Linked DNA regions of Caenorhabditis elegans. The protein of the gene in region 2 purifies or fractionates together with the protein of the main gene of each other region. This does not show direct contact. Each region holds a gene or a part of one and is shown on either strand. Other genes may lie near its edges.

Evidence for each region.
Region 1: the proteins of dnj-11 (region 2) and tcc-1 fractionate together in Caenorhabditis elegans (co-fractionation; one large-scale study listed by BioGRID). This does not show direct contact.

Annotation. Positions count from the first base shown.
Region 1 is NC_003283.11:17,850,158-17,861,010, reverse strand, and holds the start of tcc-1 (Ribosome-binding protein 1), read left to right. Parts: upstream 1-5,021; 5' UTR 5,022-5,024; coding exon 5,025-5,144; intron 5,145-5,995; coding exon 5,996-6,552; intron 6,553-7,408; coding exon 7,409-8,008; intron 8,009-8,886; coding exon 8,887-9,208; intron 9,209-10,853.
Region 2 is NC_003282.8:6,582,035-6,592,436, reverse strand, and holds dnj-11 (DnaJ homolog subfamily C member 2), read right to left. Parts: upstream 6,567-10,402; coding exon 6,483-6,566; intron 6,431-6,482; coding exon 6,154-6,430; intron 6,109-6,153; coding exon 5,573-6,108; intron 5,519-5,572; coding exon 5,381-5,518; intron 5,325-5,380; coding exon 4,962-5,324; intron 4,912-4,961; coding exon 4,540-4,911; 3' UTR 4,251-4,539; downstream 1-4,250. Other genes in the region: nspb-2 (Nematode Specific Peptide family, group B), read right to left, coding at 419-472, 524-718; nspb-1 (Nematode Specific Peptide family, group B), read left to right, coding at 1,344-1,538, 1,588-1,641; lec-11 (Galectin), read left to right, coding at 2,301-2,324, 2,374-2,462, 2,949-3,147, 3,748-3,883, 3,952-4,202; F38A5.2 (TraB domain-containing protein), read left to right, coding at 7,037-7,132, 7,184-7,229, 7,301-7,528, 7,584-7,882, 7,938-8,063, 8,108-8,245, 8,291-8,605, 8,654-8,763 and 1 more; odr-8 (Ufm1-specific protease), read left to right, coding at 9,777-9,890, 10,047-10,221, 10,266-10,402.

The DNA.
Region 1 (10,853 bases), on a different chromosome or scaffold from region 2:
CTTAAAATTTCCAATTTTTAAGCTTATAAATCGCTTAAAATTTCCAATTTTTAGGCCAAAAATCGCTTAAAATTTCCAATTTTTAGGCCAAAAATCGCTTAAAATTTCCAATTTTTAGGCCAAAAATCGCTTAAAATTTCCAATTTTTAAGCTTAAAAATCGCTTAAAATTTCCAATTTTTAGGCCAAAAATCGCTTAAATTTTCCAATTTTTAAGCTTAAAAATCGCTTAAAATTTCCAATTTTTAGGCCAAAAATCGCTTAAATTTTCCAATTTTTAGGCCAAAAATCGCCCAAAAATCGCTTAAAATTTCCAATTTTTAAGCTTAAAAATCGCTTAAAATTTCCAATTTTTAGGCAAAAATCGCTTAAAATTTCCAATTTTTAAGCTTAAAAATCGCTTAAAATTTCCAATTTTTAGGCCAAAAATCGCTTAAAATTTCCAATTTTTAGGCCAAAAATCGCTTAAATTTTCCAATTTTTAAGCTTGAAAATCGCTTAAAATTTCCAATTTTTAGGCCAAAAATCGCTTAAATTTTCCAATTTTTAGGCCAAAAATCGCCCAAAAATCGCTTAAAATTTCCAATTTTTAAGCTTAAAAATCGCTTAAAATTTCCAATTTTTAGGCAAAAATCGCTTAAAATTTCCAATTTTTAAGCTTAAAAATCGCTTAAAATTTCCAATTTTTAGGCCAAAAATCGCTTAAAATTTCCAATTTTTAGGCCAAAAATCGCTTAAATTTTCCAATTTTTAAGCTTGAAAATCGCTTAAAATTTCCAATTTTTAGGCCAAAAATCGCTTAAATTTTCCAATTTTTAGGCCAAAAATCGCCCAAAAATCGCTTAAAATTTCCAATTTTTAAGCTTAAAAATCGCTTAAAATTTCCAATTTTTAGGCAAAAATCGCTTAAAATTTCCAATTTTTAGGCCAAAAATCGCTTAAATTTTCCAATTTTTAAGCTTGAAAATCGCTTAAAATTTCCAATTTTTAGGCCAAAAATCGCTTAAATTTTCCAATTTTTAGGCCAAAAATCGCCCAAAAATCGCTTAAAATTTCCAATTTTTAAGCTTAAAAATCGCTTAAAATTTCCAATTTTTAGGCAAAAATCGCTTAAAATTTCCAATTTTTAAGCTTATAATCGCTTAAAATTTCCAATTTTTAGGCAAAAATCGCTTAAAGCTGTAAATCCAATTTTTAAGCGAAAATTCACCGAAATTCCGCCAGATACGGTAATCGTGGTGAGACCTCGATGCCGGAAAACCTTTATGCGCCTTTCATTTTTGTAATCTATTCTTCAATTTTTTGAGCGAATTTTCGCGGTTTCTTTTTTAAATTTCCGCCAAATTAACCATTTTTCACGTTTTTCCAGCTAAAACTTGAAATTTTCAGCGAAATCTCTCTTTTTTGGCCTGAAAATTCGCAAATTGTTTCCAAAAAACGGTAATCGTGGTGAGACCCAGCTGTTCTCGAAATTCAATGCGCCTTTAAATTTTGTAATCATTTCTTCATTTTTGGAGTGAATTTTGACGTTTTTCACTGCTAAAAGCGAGTTTTTAATCGGTTTTTTTTTCGATATTTTTGGGTTAAAATTCGCATATTTAATCCTAAAAATCAAGTTTTTGCCTAAAGTTGGCGGGAAATCCAAAAAAGAATTTTCACCATTTTCTTATTCAAAACATTTTTCGCGCCTTTTTCCCATCAAAAACATGTCAAATTCCCGTGAAAATGATGAAATCTGACGAAATTCCTCGTTTTCCGCGCGAAAAATCGCATTTTCCCACGAAATTCTGTTATTGACCTACACACAGCCGGGTGAGCGCGAATTTCGCCTAATTCGTTCGGTTTTCTCATCATTTCAAGGTCATTTTCGCACTCAATTCGCTCGTTTTTCACTTTTTTCGTCGTTTTTCCTTCTATTTGGAACAGTTTTTGGCAAAAATACGCCGGAATTGCAGGAAATTCCCGGTTTTTTCAGCTTTCCATTGGATTTTTTGCCGGATTTTCAGATAATTCAAGCTGTATTTTCAGCGATTTTTTCGAAATTGCCACCTTTTTTCCAGATTTTAAGGTTTTTTCTGAGGTTTTTGCAATTTTCTCGCAATTTCTTGGATTTCTGTCGATGTGCCAGCGTTTTCCTTCGAATTTGCACGATTTTGTCGATTTTTAGAGATTTTTCTCCAATTTTCAGCGTTTTTCATTGGTTTTTGAGAAAATCCTGCTATTTTTAATGATTTTTCAGTTGTTTCAGCAGATTTTAGGATTTTCCAGCGACTTTAACTGAATTTTCGCTCGATTATTGGCATTTTGAAGCTTTTCCTTCCGATTTGGCACTTTTTTCGGCGATTTCTCGAAAATTCGCCCATTTTCGCAAAAGTTCAAGGTTTTCCGGGCATTTTCTCAAGTTTCTCCGATTTATCTGTGAAATCTGCTCTGAAAACCAGAAATGAGCACAAAAACTCGATTTTCATATTTTCGAAGTAGTTTCTTCCGATTTGGCACATTTTTCCGGGGATTTTCTCAAAAATTCCCACATTTTCCAATGTTTTTTCGAAGTTTTGAAATTTCCCGCTTTGAAAATCCAGAAATAAGCCCAAAAGGAGCTCCACGGAGCCCGGTTTCATCAGAAAATTCGAAAATCAGCTGAAAAAAGGTCAGAATTTCAGTAAAACGCTCTATGGAGCCCGAGTATTTGCTCATTAAACGCTTCTGAATAAACAAATAAACATGAAGACGTAAAGCCAGACGGAGCTCCAACACGCACGGAGCAACTAATTTCGTTTGCAGTTCTTCTTCTTCTTCTTCACAAAAGACGCAGACACTTGCACACTGAAGACACAAGAGACACCAGACACTCTGTCCGTTCTCTGAGTCTCTGTGGCTTCCCGTGATCTCTCGTTGGCGCCCAGCGCCTGTCATTGGCGCTGCCCACGAATAGATAGTGTACGTGGAGTGGAGAGTCACCAGACAGAGCAATAGGGAATGTCCAGAAGCATCGGGAGGGATGAGAGGACGTGGCTGCAGTGCCCCCTGTTTCTCTGTGTCTCTGCGGTATTTCCCGTACTTTTTTTGGGGGGTTTCTTCTCCTTTGCAGCAGATCCCGAAATTCCTCGAATTTCGCATTTCCGCCGCCGCCCACTTTTTTCCAGCTTTTCCAGCAGCGATCTGGAATTTTTGAAGCTTTGACGTCCGTATTTTGAGATTTTGTTCCAAGAAATTTAGTTTTTTGAACTGAAAATCGAGGAAATCGACCGGTTTTGGGCCAGGTTTCTCTGAAAATTGGTGCCTAACCAGGGTTTCTAACTGACTTTAATGTTGCCCAGTTTTGGGATTTTTTTGGTCGGTAAAACCAAATTTTTTTTCCTAGAAAATTAATCTTATGGAAAAAAAAAACTGGATTTTACCTGAAATTTTCGAATTTACTGACTGTTTTAGTCTATTTTTTCGAGTGTTTCAAAGCAAAATTCCCACTGACACCGCCGGTAGGCAGGCAAGGCTTCAGAGAATGATGCCTGCCTGAAATCTGCCTGCCTTTCGCCTCTTTGCTGCATTTTGACATGAGTTTTCAAATTTTCTCATTTCTATCAATTTGTTAAAAAATCAAATTACACGTAACACGTATTGAGGCGAGAGTCAGGCGGAGTCGGTCGCCTCAAAGACAGGCAGGTAGGCCTACGTTCAAGGCCTACACACCAGGGGTGCCAGGCTGCCCATTTCGGTTTGATCTACACAAAAATGCGGGAGAGTTTGAGACGCGAGTTTTCAACCGATTTTGCATGGTTAAGAACGTGCTGACGTCACATTTTTTGTTGGGCAAAAAATTCCCGCATTTTTTGTAGATCAAACCGTAATGGGACAACCTGGGGACCACGTGGGCCTACAGAAGTGTGTTCCTAAACGACAAAAAGCCTACAATTTCTCTTCCTATTAGGTTTCTCAAGTATCAAAGTTTTTCATTGATTAACACAGGGATACACCCCCTCTCTTGATGATTTTCTATTTGACCTCGATATTTCGGAATTTCGGGTGTACTTTGTCGTTCCCCGCGCGCGGGCTGCGAAAACTTTTTTTTTAATATAAAAGTTGTCTCCACCGCGGCCCGCGCAATTGTCTTTACCCCAACGGAAATGCAATTATTATTGTCATTTTTATCACCACCATTTCAACTTTGCCGATCTCTGTGTGAAATTCTCAGTTGCCGTCCCCGAAAGTAAAGAAAAGTGCTCGAAATGCCACTTTTTTTTTTTTGGAAGAATTTTCAACTTTGAAATGGATTTTCCCGAAAAACTGGCATCTCAGCGAAGAAATTTCTCGGTTGTAGTGGAATTTTCTACTCAAAAACTCGATTTTTTTTTATTAAAAAATTCAAATTTCGAGGTATTTTAGTGGAATTTTCTATTGAAAACTCAATTTTTCACATTAAATCCCATATTTTTTCTTGGAAATTATCGATATTCAGCTTTAAAAATATGTGAAAAGTTGAAAAATGACTCCTTTGTCGATTTACGCAGCTCTTGTGTACTTCTCGAGGAGAAGAGAAGATTTGTACAGTTATAGTAAAAATGCGGCATTTTTGGATATTTTTACTAAAATTGTAACTCTTCTCCACGAGGAGTACACAAGAGCCGCGTAAATCGACACAGGAGTCATTTTTCAACTTTTCAGATATTTTAAAGCTGAAATATCGATAATTTTCAGAGAAGAAACATAGAAAATTCCACTAAAAACGAGAAATCCATTGAAAATAGCTCGAAATTCGGAATTTTTAATCGAAAAAAACGAGTTTTTGAGTAAAAAATCTCTATGAAAATGTGGGAAATTTGATATTTTCGAAATAAAATCGATTTTTCAGGGTTTTACACTGAAAAAGTGCCATTTTTTTCGAAAATTTCGAATTTTACACGTTTTCATAGAGATTTTTTACTCAAAAACTCGATTTTTTCGATTAAAAATTCCGAATTTCGATAATTTCTCCATTTTCCCACTTTTTTCTATAAAATTTCTAAAAATGCTAAATAATTTCAGCCAATGGACTCGTCATTCGTCGATCCATCAACAGCTCTCGGCATTCTCGGTGGTGTTGGTGTATTTGTGTTTGCAATTTATTATATGATATTCATGAATCGACAAGAGGATAATTTTGACAAGGTTCGGAACGATTTTCGTGGAAAAATTGAGATTTTTCACACGAATTCTGATCAGAAGAGTGAAATTTCAAGAGATTATCGACTTTTTTCGCTTAACAACCGGATTTTCCTTGACCTAAAATTGGCCTAAAACTTTTTTTTCCCCGCGAAAAAACCAGGAAAACTAAATTTTTACGAGAAAAGTGGATATTTTTCAGAGAATTCTGACTGAAAAGGCAATTTTCCTCGGATTTTCTCATCAAATTGACTGAAAATCTGCGAAAAATACCTTTTTGTGCCTGAAAATTGTTGAAAAAAATTAATTTTTATCAGAAAAACGGCATTTTCAGCAAACTTTTATTCTAAAAAAGACGATTTTTAACGAGGAATTCGATATTTTTTCCGAGAATTTTGACTTGAAATGAGCAAAATTGCTCTTTTTCACTTAAAAAAAACAATTTTCCTATCAAAAATTGGATTTTTATCGAAGTTTTCCCAAAAAAAGAAGGTTTTCGGTTCAAAATTGGCTTCTTTCGGTTTTTTAAGGCAAAAATGAACAAATTCAGGCCAAAAATGCCAATTTTCAGGTGTAAATTTAAAATTTCAACACAAAAATCGTCTTTTTGTTTTTTTCGATGAAATCTTCGCTGAAATTCGGTTTTCCTGATAAAAATTGGTTTAAAAAATGGGAATTTAGGCACAAAAATGTCGTTTTTTGGGGGAAATTCTGAATAAAATACGATTATATTTTCAAAAAAAAAAAACAAATATTCCAAGGAATTTCTCCAAAAAGAAGGATTTTTGTGTGCTGAAAATTGGCATTTTCAGTCAAAAAAAAAACTGTAAAAATCTATAAATTTTTCAAATTTTCAGGCTTACAACCGCGACGCATTGGCTCTTTTGACTGACAACAACGAGAAGAAGAAACAGCCAAAAAATAAGACAAAGAAGCAACAGCAAACGGGCAAAAAAGCACAAGATGCCGCTCCAGCTCCGGCTTCAGCTGCTCCAGCTGCTCCAAATGCTCCAACTCCAACGGCTCAGCAACAACCATCACCAAAAGCTTCTGCTGCTCCAATTCCAGAAAAACCGGAAATTCAAGTCCAAAAAGTGGAATCTACTCAGGCTTCTGCTCCAATTCCAGCTCCAGCAGCTCCAACAACTCAAAAATCGTCTCCAAAAGAGCGAAAATCGGTGAATTTGAAGGATTTGGATCAGAAAAAGGTGCTCAACAAGCTCTCCGGACTCCCAGAACTCGATGAAGCTTATATTCAATTCTTGGCTGGAGCATTCCGTGATTCTGATGCTCAGAAGAATAATTTGAGTCTGGAAGTTAAGGCTTTGAACAAGAAGATGACGGAATCTGCTGTGAAAATTGAGAAATTGAATAAAGAAAAGATGGCTGTGGAACAACGCGAGAAACACGAGCAGTATGTCGATTTTTTACGCGGAAAATTGAGAAAAATCGTGAAAATTGATGAAAATTGGTCTAAAAATGATAATTTTGTGCGAAAATTCAAGAATTTCGATGGAAAACGTGGAAAAATCACGAAATTTCATGAAAATTGGGCCAAGAATGATATTTTTTCGTCCGAAATTTAAAAATTCTGAACTAAAATTGCTGACCACGCATTTCTGACAAAAAAAGAGGCAATTTTCTCCAAAATTTGATGAAAAATCGTTTTCTCAGTCGAAATGCACCATAATTTAGTCAATTTTGACGGAAATTAGGCAAAATCGATTGAAAATTTCCAATTTCCCGCCGAAATTTGACTTTTCGACGATTTTTCGTTAGCAAACAGCTGAAAAACGACATTTTGGCCGTGAAAATTGTAGAATTTTGTTTTAAAAATTACTATTTTCAGCCTAAATTGTTGTACAACGGTAAAAACCCTAATTTATTCAAAAATTTAACTTTTCTGTCTTGAAAATCGGGCTGAGAACCGACAGTTTTACGCAAAAAAATGCTCCAAATTTGTGAAAAATCCCTAAAAACTTCTTAAAATTGAGCTCAAAGAGTCCGAGCAGGCATTCCTTTCAAAAAACGGTGAATTTTAAGAAATTCGCCAAAAATTACAAATTCCAGCAAAAAATTCAACTTTTGGTCTTAAAAATCGGCTAAAAAAACGCTGAAATTGCTGGAAAAATTTTCAATTTTCCGCTTAAAATCTCTCTAAAAACCTGCAATTTTTCAGTGCTCAACGCCAAAAAAAGCTCTAAAAATGTGAAAAAACCCAAAAAATTGCACTTTTGAGCCTAAAATCCGAATTTTCTCCTGTTTTTCAGAGCTCAACGCCAACAACTCTTGCAAAAAGTGGCTCAAAATCAGGCTCACGAATCAGAATTGGCTCGTCAAATTCAGGGAATTGAAGGAAAACTTCGTGTGAAAGAGCAAGAACTTGTTGCCGCAGGAAAAGCTGTCAAAAATAATGAAGAGCATGAGAAAGAGCTGAAGCTGTTGAGAAGCACGAATTCGAGTTTTTCAACAGAGCTGAAGACGATTCGAAAGGAACATGAAGCTCAGTTACAGAAGAAACAAGAAGAATGGAAGAAGCTACATGAGCAGTTGGAGCAAGAAAAGGAGAAGCTTATTTCGGAAAAAGAGCACGCAAAACAGACACATTTGAAGCTGGCGGCAGCTGTTGAAAATGTTGAAGCTGAACTTGAAAAGCAAGGAAAAGAATGGATTCAATTGAGCACACACAATCAAACATTGAAACAACACAATTTAGAGTTGGAAGCTGCTCTTTCAGTGGCAAAAGCTCGAGATCAAGACGGAGAAGCTCAGAAATGGACGATGGAAAAAGCTCAGATGATTGAGAATTATACGCGATTGGAGGCACTTATCGGGGAGCTCAATCGAGATATTTCAGAGTTTCACGAATAGTGAGTAGATGAACAATTTTCGAGGAAAATCTGAAAATTTTCAGAAAAACGGAAATTTATGTTAAAATCGAGAAAACAGGCAATTTTTGCGCTGAAAAACCGAAAATTTCGAGTTTTTCCACCCTATTTTTGGTCTAGAATCGGTCAAAAATGAGCAGCAAAGTCATGAAAAAACTGAATAATTTGAAAAAAAAATGCACGTTTTGACCAATATTTCACTGATTTTTACCTAAAAACTGCTGAAAAGGAGACAATTTTGGAGAAAATGTGAGAAAAAGCTCGAAATTCTACTCGATTATAGGAAACAGGCAATTTTAGTGCTGAAAATTTGAAAATTTTGTAATTTCTAACGGAAAGTGCTGATTTTCCCTTAAAAATCTATAAAATTGTGCTTTTTTGCAAAAAAATTCGTTTTTTCACTCAAAAATGGGCAATTTCAGTCGGAAATTGATTAATTTTGCTTTAAAAAAACTCGAGAAAAACTCAAATTTCCATTGAAAGCCAAAACTCGAAGAAAATCGACAAAAATGGCCGGATTTTTCTCAAATTTCGCCAAAAAAAAAGGCCAAATTTCTGTGGAAAATTGGCGATTTTCCACTATAAAATTGAAAAAATCGCAGAATTTCACCTGAAAAACTTTTTTTTTAACCAAAAATCCACGAAAAACCCGATTTTTTCCGTAAATTCTGGGAAAATCAACGGATTTCAATTGAAATGCATTTTTTTTTTCGATCAAAAACGATTTTTTTTTGAGCTGGAAAGGTGAAATATTGAGAAATTATCATTTTTTACCCGGAAAAAGGCAAAAAAGGCAAATTTTAAATTAAAAAAAAACTAAAAATCCAAGGAAAAACGCTCAAATTCTCGTAATTTTGCAGCAAAAAGCAACAAGAAGTGATTGTGAATGAGCTCAATCATCGTGAAAAAGCTCATTTGGATACAATTGAGCAACTCCGTGAGCAAATTTCCATCGAAAAGAGCAAATTGGCAGAGCTTCAAGTGGTTTTGGACGCGGAAAAGTCGAAAATTGTCGAAATTCCGTTGAATCAGCCACTGGTGGTTGAGGAGGTTATTGAGCTTAAAAAGACGAATGCTAATTTGGCAGCTGCTGCTCCGAGTACTTCTTCTGGAGCTTCAAAAGAAGACGAGGAAACTGAGAAGCTTAAAGCTGAAAATGCCCAGTTGCACGAGAAAAATGAGGTAGAAATATTGGATTTCTCGCCTTTTTTTTAGTGTGGAACATTGATTTTTTCGTGGAAATCTACCTAAAATTGTAGTTTTCAGCTGAAAATTTGGATTTTTCGTGAAAATTGGCTTGAAATTGCAATTTTCAACGTGAATTTCGGATGTTCAGCTGAAATTCCCAATAAAATTCGGAAATTATCAGAATTTCCTTTAAAATTGGCTCAAAACATTAGTTTTCAGTGAAGAAATAACATTTTTAGCTAAAAATCACTAAAAATTCGAATTTTTCTGAATTTTTCAGAAAAAATCCACTTAAAAATGTAGTTTACACTGGAAATTTTAATTTTTCACAATTTTTCGTAAAAAATTACTTAAAATCTTAATTTGTTGTGGAAATTTCCCCATTTTTTTTTTCGTATTTTCCACTTTTGAAAATTGGCTCGAAATTGAGATTTTCCACTGAAAATTCGGATTTTTTCCAGAATTTTTCGTAAAAATCCACTTAAAGTTTACACTGGAAATTTGAGTTTTTTTTTAGTCAAAATCGTTGAAAATCAATTTTTGGCTCTCAAAATTAGTTTTCAGTGAAAAATTAACATTTTTAGCTGAAAATCACTAAAAATTGAGATTTTCCAGGTTTTTCCCGGAAAATCTACTTAAAATTATTATTATAGTTTTCAGTGAGAAAATCACTTTTCATCTGAAATTTTGGATTTTTTGCGTGAAAATTGGCTTAAAATTGCATTTTTTTTTCTGTGAATTTCTGATTTTCAGCTGAAAAATTGCATTTTTTTTACCTGAAAATCAGAAATTTTCGTGGAAAAATGTAACTTTTTTGGCTGAAAATCACAGTTTTTCGGAAATTTTTAGATTTTTTGGGGAATTACGATAAAACATAACTTTTTTTTTTTGTTTATGATTGGAATTTTCGCATTTTCGGCTGAAAACCTCATAAAAATCACTCAAAATGTGACTTTTCACGATAAAAATTGAATTTTTTGATTCCGATGTATTGATTTTTCGAAAACTGACTGAAACCATGTTATTTATCCGGATTTGACGCATTTTTAGATGCCAAAACCGAGATTTTTCGGAATTTTTGCTCCTCAAAATGTGTGAGAAACTATCGAAAATTGGGGTTTCTACTCAAAAATTTCAGAAATTTCAGACTATTTTTCGTTTTTCAAAGTGAAAAATCGTTTTTTTTTCGTGAAAATTCACTTAAATTTGGATTTTGCGTGAAAATTAGCTTTCAAAACTCAGTTTTCAGTGAAAAAATAACATTTTTAGCTTAAAATCACTAAAAATTCGAATTTTTCAGAATTTTTTGCAAAAATCCACTTAAAAATGTAGTTTACACTGGAAATTTGAATTTTTTTTTCTTAAAAATCTTTGAATATCAATTTTTGGCTCTCAAAACTAGAATTTTTCTGCAAATTTTAATCTTTATAGGTGAAATTTTCGCATTTTCGATTGAAAACCATTAAAAATTAGTCAAAGATTGGCTTTTCTCGCTAGAAATCCGATTTTTTTTTTGCTTCCAAAGACTATTTTTGTCGAAAATTGCTCATAAACTCGTCTGAAATTAACATTTTTAGCTTAAAATCACTAAAAATTCGAATTTTTCAGAATTTTTTGCAAAAATCCACTTAAAAATGTA
Region 2 (10,402 bases):
AGAAACAAAAACTCTCAAAAATAATATTTATTATGAAAAGTATAAAAATTTATAAGGAAAGTCTTTAATTTTTGTTAAACCCAAATTATATATCGTGTAGGCTGGAAGTTTTGTTATACAAAACTGGCAAGAAAACTTCGCCTCAAACTAGAAAATTTACTTTAAAAAAGACTAGAAAATTTCAATTACTTATTTCATATCAAAAAAAAATGTTCACACAATTCAAGAGCCCTCCAGAGACAGGTATAAAATTTAGATTATTCCATCAGAAATCTTAATATTTTTCAGTTTTCTTCAGTTAGTTCTTTAACTTGTAATACTCTAATTTCTCGTGTCATTTTAAATTCACATGTGAAAAATTCAAAACAGTTTATTCGGTGGTTCGTATAGTACACATATTCCAGAATTAGAGACCTCTTTACTGATTATTTGTCAATTTCTGAGTTGGAGCAGAAGATGGTGCTTGTTGTCCCTGAATTTATAGATATTTAGAAATTGAATGCTAATTGATCTCTCTTATTACCTTATTAGATCCCCATCCGTAATAAGCAGTTGGATAAGCAGCAGCTCCATAAGCATAAGCATATGGATAAGCAGAAGCAACTGGAGATGAAGCATAATAATATGGAGATGATACAACTTCAGGAGTATATATAACTTGACACGATGAAATACAGAAAAGGGCAAAAATCATGACAATTGTGGATTTTTGGAACATTTTTAGATTTTTCAGGTGAGACTCGGAAGTGATTGGAAAATTGAAAAGTTACCGCTTTTATAAGTGTTTCTTTGTGTTCTCTTGCTCTTTTTTTAATAGAAAAGTTTCTAAGTTTACGTACTCATGCACTTGGTTGAAGATAAATAACTAGTCAGTTTGCAGGTGTTCTATTTGTATTAAATGTTGCACAAAGTGCGAGGTTTGCTCAACCGAACTACAAAAAGTTCAACAGAAACAGTTCAGATAATATTCAATGACTTTAAAATACAATCAGAAAAAAATCACAAAAAGGGATATTTTGCTGGAACCTCGAACCCGTAGACGCACTTGCATCTAAACAGTTTTGATGAAAATACATGGTAGTTAGTAGCAGAGTTAGGTAATAAAACCTTTGCACGGATGAACATGGTAAAACAATAGAAAAAAATGAGTCAATGATTTAAATGATTTCTTTAATAAATCAAAAAATCTAAATACAGAAATAGTTTTATTGCAACTTTAATCCAAAAAGTGTCAAGAGTAAGTTTGTTAAACAAAGAGTCTATGCAAACATGCATCAATCGTATATAAACGGTAACTTTTCAATTTCCAAATCACTTCCGAGTCTCACCTGAAAAATCTAAAAATGTTCCAAAAATCCACAATTGTCATGATTTTTGCCCTTTTCTGTATTTCATCGTGTCAAGTTTTATATACTCCTGAAGTTGTATCATCTCCATATTATTATGCTTCATCTCCAGTTGCTTCTGCTTATCCATATGCTTATGCTTATGGAGCTGCTGCTTATCCAACTGCATATTATGGATGGGGATCTAATAAGGTAATAAGATATCAGTTAGCATTCAATATCTAAATATCTATAAATTCAGGGACAACAAGCTCCATCTTCTGCTCCAACACAGAAATTGACAAATAATCAGTAAAGAGATATTTCATTTTGGAATATGTGTACTATATGAACCACCGAATAAACTGTTTCCATTTTAGTTGTGTTAATGTTATTTATTTTTAATGTGTCTTTACCGTATGGTTTGATTATCAAGAAGGTTTTTCTATAGAGTTCAAAAAGCAGCATGCAAAAAATGAATCTGGAGTTTGAAACACATTTCATTTGGATCATGTCCGAGGATTTTTGAGGTTTAGGTGAATTTCATAGCTGTTCTCAAAGATTGAACTCACATTCGTTTTTTTTTAATGCTAATTATGTATAACAGAGTAAATCTTTAAGAAATGAAGTAATTCAGGAATATTTAATAACGGTAATTTTAATACGGTTTCATAGTTAATATAATTGTGTTCCAATTCCCCATCTCCAATAATTCGTCTAAACCAAACAGTTAGTTAGAGAGTTCAAGGTGTGCCTGAAATGACAGTCCATACCTTTTTAAGCAAACATCATTCGAAGTATTTTATCGTATGTGTGATTCACATAAAACTCGTCGTCATTCTTTTTTCTCTTATCATTCCATTTCAACTTCCACATTTCTTTCGAAACTGCACCGATAAAGAATTGGCATAAAAGTCTACCATCTTTCCGTTTTCGTTTCGAGTTTCTAATTCGCAGCTTTTCATCAAATAAATAATGGTTCACGTCATTGAAAATCCAGTGAGTCATTAGTTTATGAGCTTATTTGTTCTAAAGTAACTATTTTCAGCCAATTCCATTGACTACACCAATCTATGAGGGAATGAGAGAACATTCATCTGTGGAAATTCATGGAGAAGTATTTCAAGGTCCACAGGGGTTAGTCAAATTCAAAAATTAATTATTTTAGAATCAGGGTAATTTGTTTTAATTACCATATTCCAAATTTTTCGAGTTTCACGGGTGTGCACCTTTAAAGAGTACGGTAATTTTCAATGATTTCTGAACCCATTTTCGAATAAAAACGTATTTTTCCTTTTGAAAAACTTTAATACTAAAACAGTTTGAGATCACGGGAGAGGGGTTATTAAGGAACCACCATTTCATGAGAATGCCTACTTTCTGGCGCGAAAATAGCGACAGCAGAGAGAGTGAAGAGAGTGCCTTCGCTACGAGATATTCCCGCACCAAAACGGTAGGCATTCTCATGATCTGATGGTTTCGTAATAGAAGTTACAGTAATCTTCAAAGGCACTCGTTTCCATTTAACAAAATATCGTCGTGGCGAGACCTGAAGCCGTATTTTAAGAAAAGAAATCACGACATTTTGCACTTGAGTAATAGATAACCTTTTCAATATTACAGAGGATTCACAGTCGAATTTCCCACCAAAAATGGAGTTGCTCTTCATATATCGGTTCGAATGGGTTCATATGGTCAAAATGTGATTGTATTTAATCATTTACAAAGAGGAAGATGGCATCGAGAAGAACATCATCAGAATACAATCATGTTTGGCCGACCATTTTGTATGAGAATTCATAATGAGCACAGAAAATATTCGGTTGGTTCTTCTATTGTTCTGTAATCCACAGGGTCTCATTTGAGGCAAACTCGGCCGTGTGGATTTACGAGATGGTCTCAAAAACGTTCAAAAACTCTCCCGGCTTCTCATCCATGTTCGAGTAATAACGTCGATCAGAGCCATATTCAGTAGACGTTTAAAAATGAGAATTTCGCCACATCTTACACGCAGGGGTCTCGCCACGCGAAGTGACTGTATATCGTGTCGAGCTGCTCGTAAATTGACACGAGCTACAGTAACTCGGTTTCAGCGTGGCGAGACCCATGCGCGTAAAATATGATGAAATTCGCAACTGTAGATGCCTACGTAATAAAACAAATTTAGAAGTTCTAAGTAGATTTTCTTTTTCGTAAATATTGTGAATACATATTACCTTTTTGCGTAAAAAAACAATTTTCAACCCAAAATCAAGATATCGGGTCCTGAAACTTCTCAGCTACCGTACCCACGAGTGTGAAAGACTTTATGTTAAAACCTAATTTCTCTAATTATTTGAGTTTAGAATATCAGATTATTGAACACAGATAGTTTTTTTTTATTCAAACAATATTCTCGTAAAAACAATCAATTTAATTCCAGATCCACGTGGACGGACATCACATCGGACATTATCATCATCATAAATGCCCAAAACGAATCGTTGCAATGACTGTTCGAGGAGATCTTCGAGTTGGAAAAATTCATTTCGAAAACTTCAAACATCATAACGGAGGAGGTTGGTTTTTATCTTAATATTCTGGGGATTTTTTTTTGTTTTTTGATTTCCAATCTTAATAATTCTAGGTACTGAAATCGGTGTAATGCAAATGCCTGTTGCTCCAACTCCGATCGTTGTTGCTCAACCACCGCCTCCAATGATTGTTCCCCAACCACAGATTGTTCCGGTTGTTCAGCAAATTATGCAACCAATGGTTCAACCCATATATCCAAGTGTTCAACCAATCGTGTATCCAACTGCTACTCCAATCATCTATACTCAACCTGAAGTTATCTACATGGACGGTTATCATCACCACCGTCACCATCACTATTGAAATTTGTACTTATTGTGAAAATGAATGAATAAATGAACATGACAAATTGATAGGGACGCACCGTTCATCTAATGTTCATAACTGAGACATGAATATTGAGCACTGCAGAAAAAGTTTGATGACAGAAACAAAAAAAAAAGTACATAGTACTACTGAATTTGAGTTGGTCAAGAGTCAAGAATGATTAAGGCTTTCAAGAATAAATGAATAAATGAAGAAAAAACAATATAACGAGCTAAAATGTGATGGGAACGGAAACAAGAGTTATGGAGGAGAAACAAGAAATAATATGAAGGGATGAGGAAGATTTAGAGAAGATATTACTTGGACTAGAAGATCATTTCTTATTTTTAACCATTTGAACGAGATACTTGAAACGACGAATGCAGGCTTTTTTGGACTTTGTGCCAACTTCTGTTGAGATCTTTTCCCACCGCTCGGGATCACTTGACTTATGCTTCTTGATAGCGTCCTCTAAAGTTTTCTGTTCGGTTGCTGACCAGACATCCTCATCTGGTAGCGCAGTTCCTAGCTGATTTTGAGTAGTTGATGGTAGCTTGACGTTCATCGTTTGAACAGCTTTGCATTGCTTGATAACCTGTTTTTCAGTTTTTGGTGGTAAACCCGTAGAATCCTTGCGATGCTCGTTAATGTAATCGGCAATTTGAACCCATCTCTCCACGGTTCCAGGTGGGAATGTGTTTGAAGCCTTTAAAAATATGAAAATTAATTAATGATTTCCAATCGTTTATGTCTTACCTTAACCAATAATTGAATCTCTTCACTAGTCCATGTCTCCTTGTCGGCTTGCTTTTCATTTTCTTTGTTCTTATCCTCAGTGATTGTGACCTTTGCTCCAGCAGCTTCTTTCTTCAGAATTTCAGCATCTGTTAGCGCAGTTTGAATTTCAGAAGCAATTGAAAGTGATTCGACCTTCTCGCACAGCTCTCTGAGTTGATCAACAGTGAACCCAATGCAAATCCGCTCAATTCTTTCCATTTCAGTGAGCTTATCGCGAGGATTCTCCGTCCAGTGGCCAGCTTCATCAGCGAGTTTCTTCAGACGCTTACGCTGCTGAGACATAGCTTTCTTGGCAATATCACGCTCTTTCTTTTCTCTCTCCTGAAAATAATAGTTAGTATTTAAAAATCGACAATATTCTGGTGTATTGTGCTCACTCTTTCTTCCTTTGCTTTTCTGTCAGCTTCCTCTTTCTGCTTAGCTTCGGCTTCTTCCTTTTCACGCTTCTCACGGTCGATAGCTTCTTGCTTTTCACGGATGGCTCTTTGCTTATCTTCCTTTGCTTTATCTTTTTTCTAAAATTTAAAATTGAAAATCCGGCAAAGTTTAGGCAAAGTTTATAGACTTACCGCTTGCTGTTCCTTCTTGAACTTGATAATTCTAGGATCCTTAGCATAAGCTATATCAACCAACTTTCTAATTCTCTTCGCCTCTTCTTTCCGCCGTCTTTCTCTTTCTGCCTTATTCTGTTTCTCCATCTCTCGTCTTTCGTACCGATCTTCTCCTCTTTCCTTGTCTTCTTCGTCCAAATACGAGAACTCGCGCCATGACTGGAAGTTAAACCAAAAATCGTAGAAATTCTCGACATCCTCCCGGGTCGCATCTGATTTACCAAGTTCTGGCACTGGCTTGATATTGGACCATCTGGAGTTTAATTGGAAAACTGGAGCAAGTTCGTTATAAAAGTTATTATGGTTGATTGATTTCTCATTTGGAATAATATCGTTGAATTTATGATCGACCGAATCGAAAGCTTGACGTTTGACGTCAGACATTCCAACTTGTTCATAAGCTTTTGTGATACAAGTAAAGTATTCTTCCTTCTCCATAACAATTCCACGATGCTTCTTCTTGTCCGGGTGATGCTTCAAAACCTTTTGACGATCTGAAATAATTCTCTTCAAAAAATTCTCACTTCATTTTAACTTACAACAGAAACGAATTTCGTCAGATGTAGCTTGCCATCTGAGCTTCGACAATCCTAAAACTTTGTAGTGATCCTGATTTTTGCAGTCATTTGGATCCAGCTTCATCAAGTACTTTTCATATTTTTCATTATCAGCATCAAAAAGATCTTTTCTCAATTCAGCTGGCTCTTCAGACGACTTTTTTCTTTGCTGTTCCGTAACAGGCTTTGCAACAGGAGAGTTTTTATAGATTGGAAGCGTACAGTGGCCCAGTGTGAGTTTATCTCGAATAAGGCGAGTCTGAAAATGTCAGTTAAGAAATATTTGCGGACATAGGTGATAGTAAACTCACTTCATAGCATATTCCGGCTGGCTCAAAAGCTCTGCTTCGAGCTGTGAATCCATAAATTGCAACTTGTAAATTGCCCGTAGTCATCTATAATTATTAAATTATTTTGAGCCTACTTTAGTCCTAAAACGAAATAAAAGAACATAATCAGCCTAGAAATTTCTGTTTTCTTTTTAAATCGCGTGACCACAGTTGTTCATAAAAGATTTTCAGCAACGAAAGAGAAGAAAAAGGGACATAATCTGAGAAATAAAGCTGAAAAACTACTGAAAATAATTGCGGGGGATTTACGAAAGAAGAAATCGTGCCATGGTTGCAAAATGTCGAGTGCGGCGCGGTTTTAACCGAGTCACAACATAAATTATGGAGACGGAGACACAATGCAAACGCGCTTCGCTGGTCTTTTTTGTTTTTTTTTCTTGTAACTTAAAATGGAAACCTGGAGTGATTTGGATTCATTTTAATTGTTTTTCAGCTTTGTAAGCTCCGCTTTGTACGCGATTGTATGAAATAAAACATGTTATAATTTCAAGTTATATCCAAAATAAGGTTTTCAGATGTCAGAGTCATCGTCAAACTTGAATCCAGATGGAACTGAGTTTCCAGACCCTAATGACGTGCCACCACCATCGGAAGATCAATTGACTGAAGAGGTATGCTGAAATATTACATTTGTAAAAATTATTAACAATCTCCATGTTCAGGATCTATTCCGGATGCGTTCTCTGACAATCAATTCGAAAAAAGGACGTAAGTTTTTTTTCATCGCTTGAAGTTGTTTGGAAAGATAATTATTTTTAAAATATTTAATATTTTTTTAGTTTCAGTTGTTGGTGGTGCAAGTGAGACAGCCGAGCAGTCCATCATATCACTCGCAGATTCGACTTCAAATTTTGATGAGCATGTTGGAGATGATGCCGAGTTGGATTATGAGCTGGAACAAGCTCCTGAAGCAACAGAAGATGGTGCAGTGGTGAACAATCCTGTTTGTGGAGGGTACCATTTCGGAAGGAAAAGAGCAGATGACTTCGTCCCAAATGCCAATACAGGTTTCTTAAAACTCCAGTTCGATGTAACACTGATATCTATATTCTATAATTACAGTAACAGTGCTCAAATGGCCTACAAATCTGGCGATTCCTCCACGCAACCCCGTGCTGAGCGATTCTGATGAAGAATGGAAGAAAGCGATTCTCGACTCCACCATTTATCTCATCGGTACAGCTCACTTTTCAAAAGAGTCGCAGGAAGACGTATCCAACACAATTCGTGCTGTGCAACCTGATTTTGTCATGCTTGAGCTGTGTCCATCACGAATTTCAATCATATCGATGGATGAGGCTCGGCTTTTGAGCGAAGCGAAAGATCTCAACTCTCAAAAAATTATTCAGACCATGAAACAAGTGAGTTCTCATATTTTTGTTGTTGTAATGTTGTAATATTTTCAACTTTTTTAAGAACGGCGCGATTCAAGGAATTCTGCACGTTCTTCTCCTGTCAATGTCAGCGCATGTAACACGTGAACTTTCCATGGCTCCCGGAGGAGAATTCCGTGCTGCTCATCGTGCAGCAGTTGCAACTGAGGTTTGAGTATTTAAAAAGTTTTATTTACAAAGTAACTATTTCAGAATTGTCGTGTAGTTCTCGGTGATCGTCCTATTCAAGTTACACTTCAACGTGCACTGGCTTCTCTCTCCATCTGGCAAAAAATTCGCTTCTTCTTCCACGTTGCATTTTCACATCGTGAGAAGATAACTGCAGAAGAGGTATTTAATTATTCAACCTTTTCCAAAAATATTCCAAAATTATAGGTGGAACGATGCAAGCAACGTGACCTTCTGGAGCAACTTCTCGCCGAGATGGCTGATGATTTCCCACAACTATCCCAAATCTTTGTGGAAGAGCGTGATGCCTACATGACGCATGCTTTGCATATGCTCGTACACCGGAACTCAGTCGAAAAACGTGCACAATGGCTTCGTGGAACAACTGGGCAACAATTTCAACCGTTGACAGTTGTTGCTGTCGTTGGAATCGGACATACTCCAGGAATTGTTAACAAATGGAATACAAATATTGATTTTGATCCACTTATGAACATCCCACCACCAAGCCTCGGAACAAAGGTAAATTAATCTGAAGTTATTTTAATTCTTTCATTTCTTTATTTCCAGGTTTTCTCCACTGGCGTCCGTATTGTTGTCTGGGGATCTTTGGGATATTTGGCTTATCGTGGAGGACGTGCTATCTTCAATCGTGTTAGCACATTCATAGAGTCTCGTTGGTAGGTTGGAAATTTTTGTTTAAAATTTAGTTTTGGGAATGTTGAAATTAAACGATGAAATTAAACGTGAATTTTGCAAAATCAAGGTCGCACAGAGAGAGGCAGCGCGTAGTTTTGCAAGCCTGTGGCATTGTTTTCCACCGTTTTTTGGTGGTTTTTTTTCGATAAGTTCTCAATTTTACTGGTTTCACTATTTTTTCTAATGAAAATGTTACCTAATTCAATTCTCATACGATTATGAGGAAATTTCATGTTAGATTTGTTGTAAAAACGAAGTATTCTCACAATCTTATGGGAATTGAATTAGATACATAATATTTTTATTCAAAAAAAAAGAAGGAAAAACCGTACCACAGGGATGAGAAATTACGCGAATTACCAACTCCCCATTCAAAGAATGAAATAATAGCAAACCTAATCTCATTTTCGTGCTTCTCCCGTCTTCTCTCGTTATTAGCTTTTCTGGTATCACCTGCTCCGCACAAGTTACCCATGACAACCAACCCACTAACTCGTATATCTTTTCAGAACAACTCATTGATTGAAGCGGGCACAACAGCATAGCAGCCGTCTACATTCGATCTACAGGCGTTTTCATCGTTATTTTGTTCTTTCCTAAAATGTTTATGTCTAATTATTGGACTTTTAATCGCTTTTTCTTGTAATGTGATACGATTTCTAGGGTGTAGATAGGTTGAGAATTGAAACAAAATTTTTCTTCTCCCATTTTTTTCTAAACTATCCTTTTCTGTTAAATGCCCAAACAAATTGCAATTTATTTATTAGTCCCACCCGCTTCTTCCGTTTATCGATTGATTTATTCTCGTTTTCTTTGTAAAATACACAAATAATTTAAATTATTCATCTCTCTATTGCAAAATCCCCTTCTACAAGTCCCCATATTCAGCTCGCTGGTCGTATAAATGACACATTTCAATATTATTCTCTCGTGATTCGTGGTAATATCCATAAACTATTATTATCTTTTGAAAGGTGATTGGAAGAGAAGAAGAATGACGAATTCTCAAACTGTCTCACTAATTGGACCAACTCAGATGGCTCCACAATCAACACCTCCACCTCCTGTGAATGAATTGTGGTTTATTGATGCGCAGGCAATGTTTCAGGTAATTTATGTGGAAATGAGCTATGAAAGTTTTAAGAAGTGCTGAAATTATTCGATTTTCTATACTAGTTGAAAAACGGAAAAAAACGAAATAAAATCTGAAAACACTCCAAAATCAGTCTTGCGAGATAAAAGATTTCACACGAAATATTTTAAGAATTACGCCAACCTCCGCTCGTTCTCCAAATCCAATGCCAACGAAATTAATACGACAATTGGCGGATTCGTTTTCGGACGTAAAGCTCGGAAACAGGTTATCCATGTGCTATTCGCCTACGCTGAAGATCTGACTGAATCGAACAGACAATTCTTGGAGAGCTCTCTGTCTGCTGGTAATTAATGGAATAATATTATTAAAAACTGAGATTTAATTCAGATATTGAACTGGTTGGAAACTTGAATATTGATGGACAATCACAGATTCTTCCTGGCGGGCAGTTCACCCTTCAGCTGACATCTCGAATGCTTGAAAATCGAAGTATCAGCGAATTTTTGGATATGAATGTGATGTTC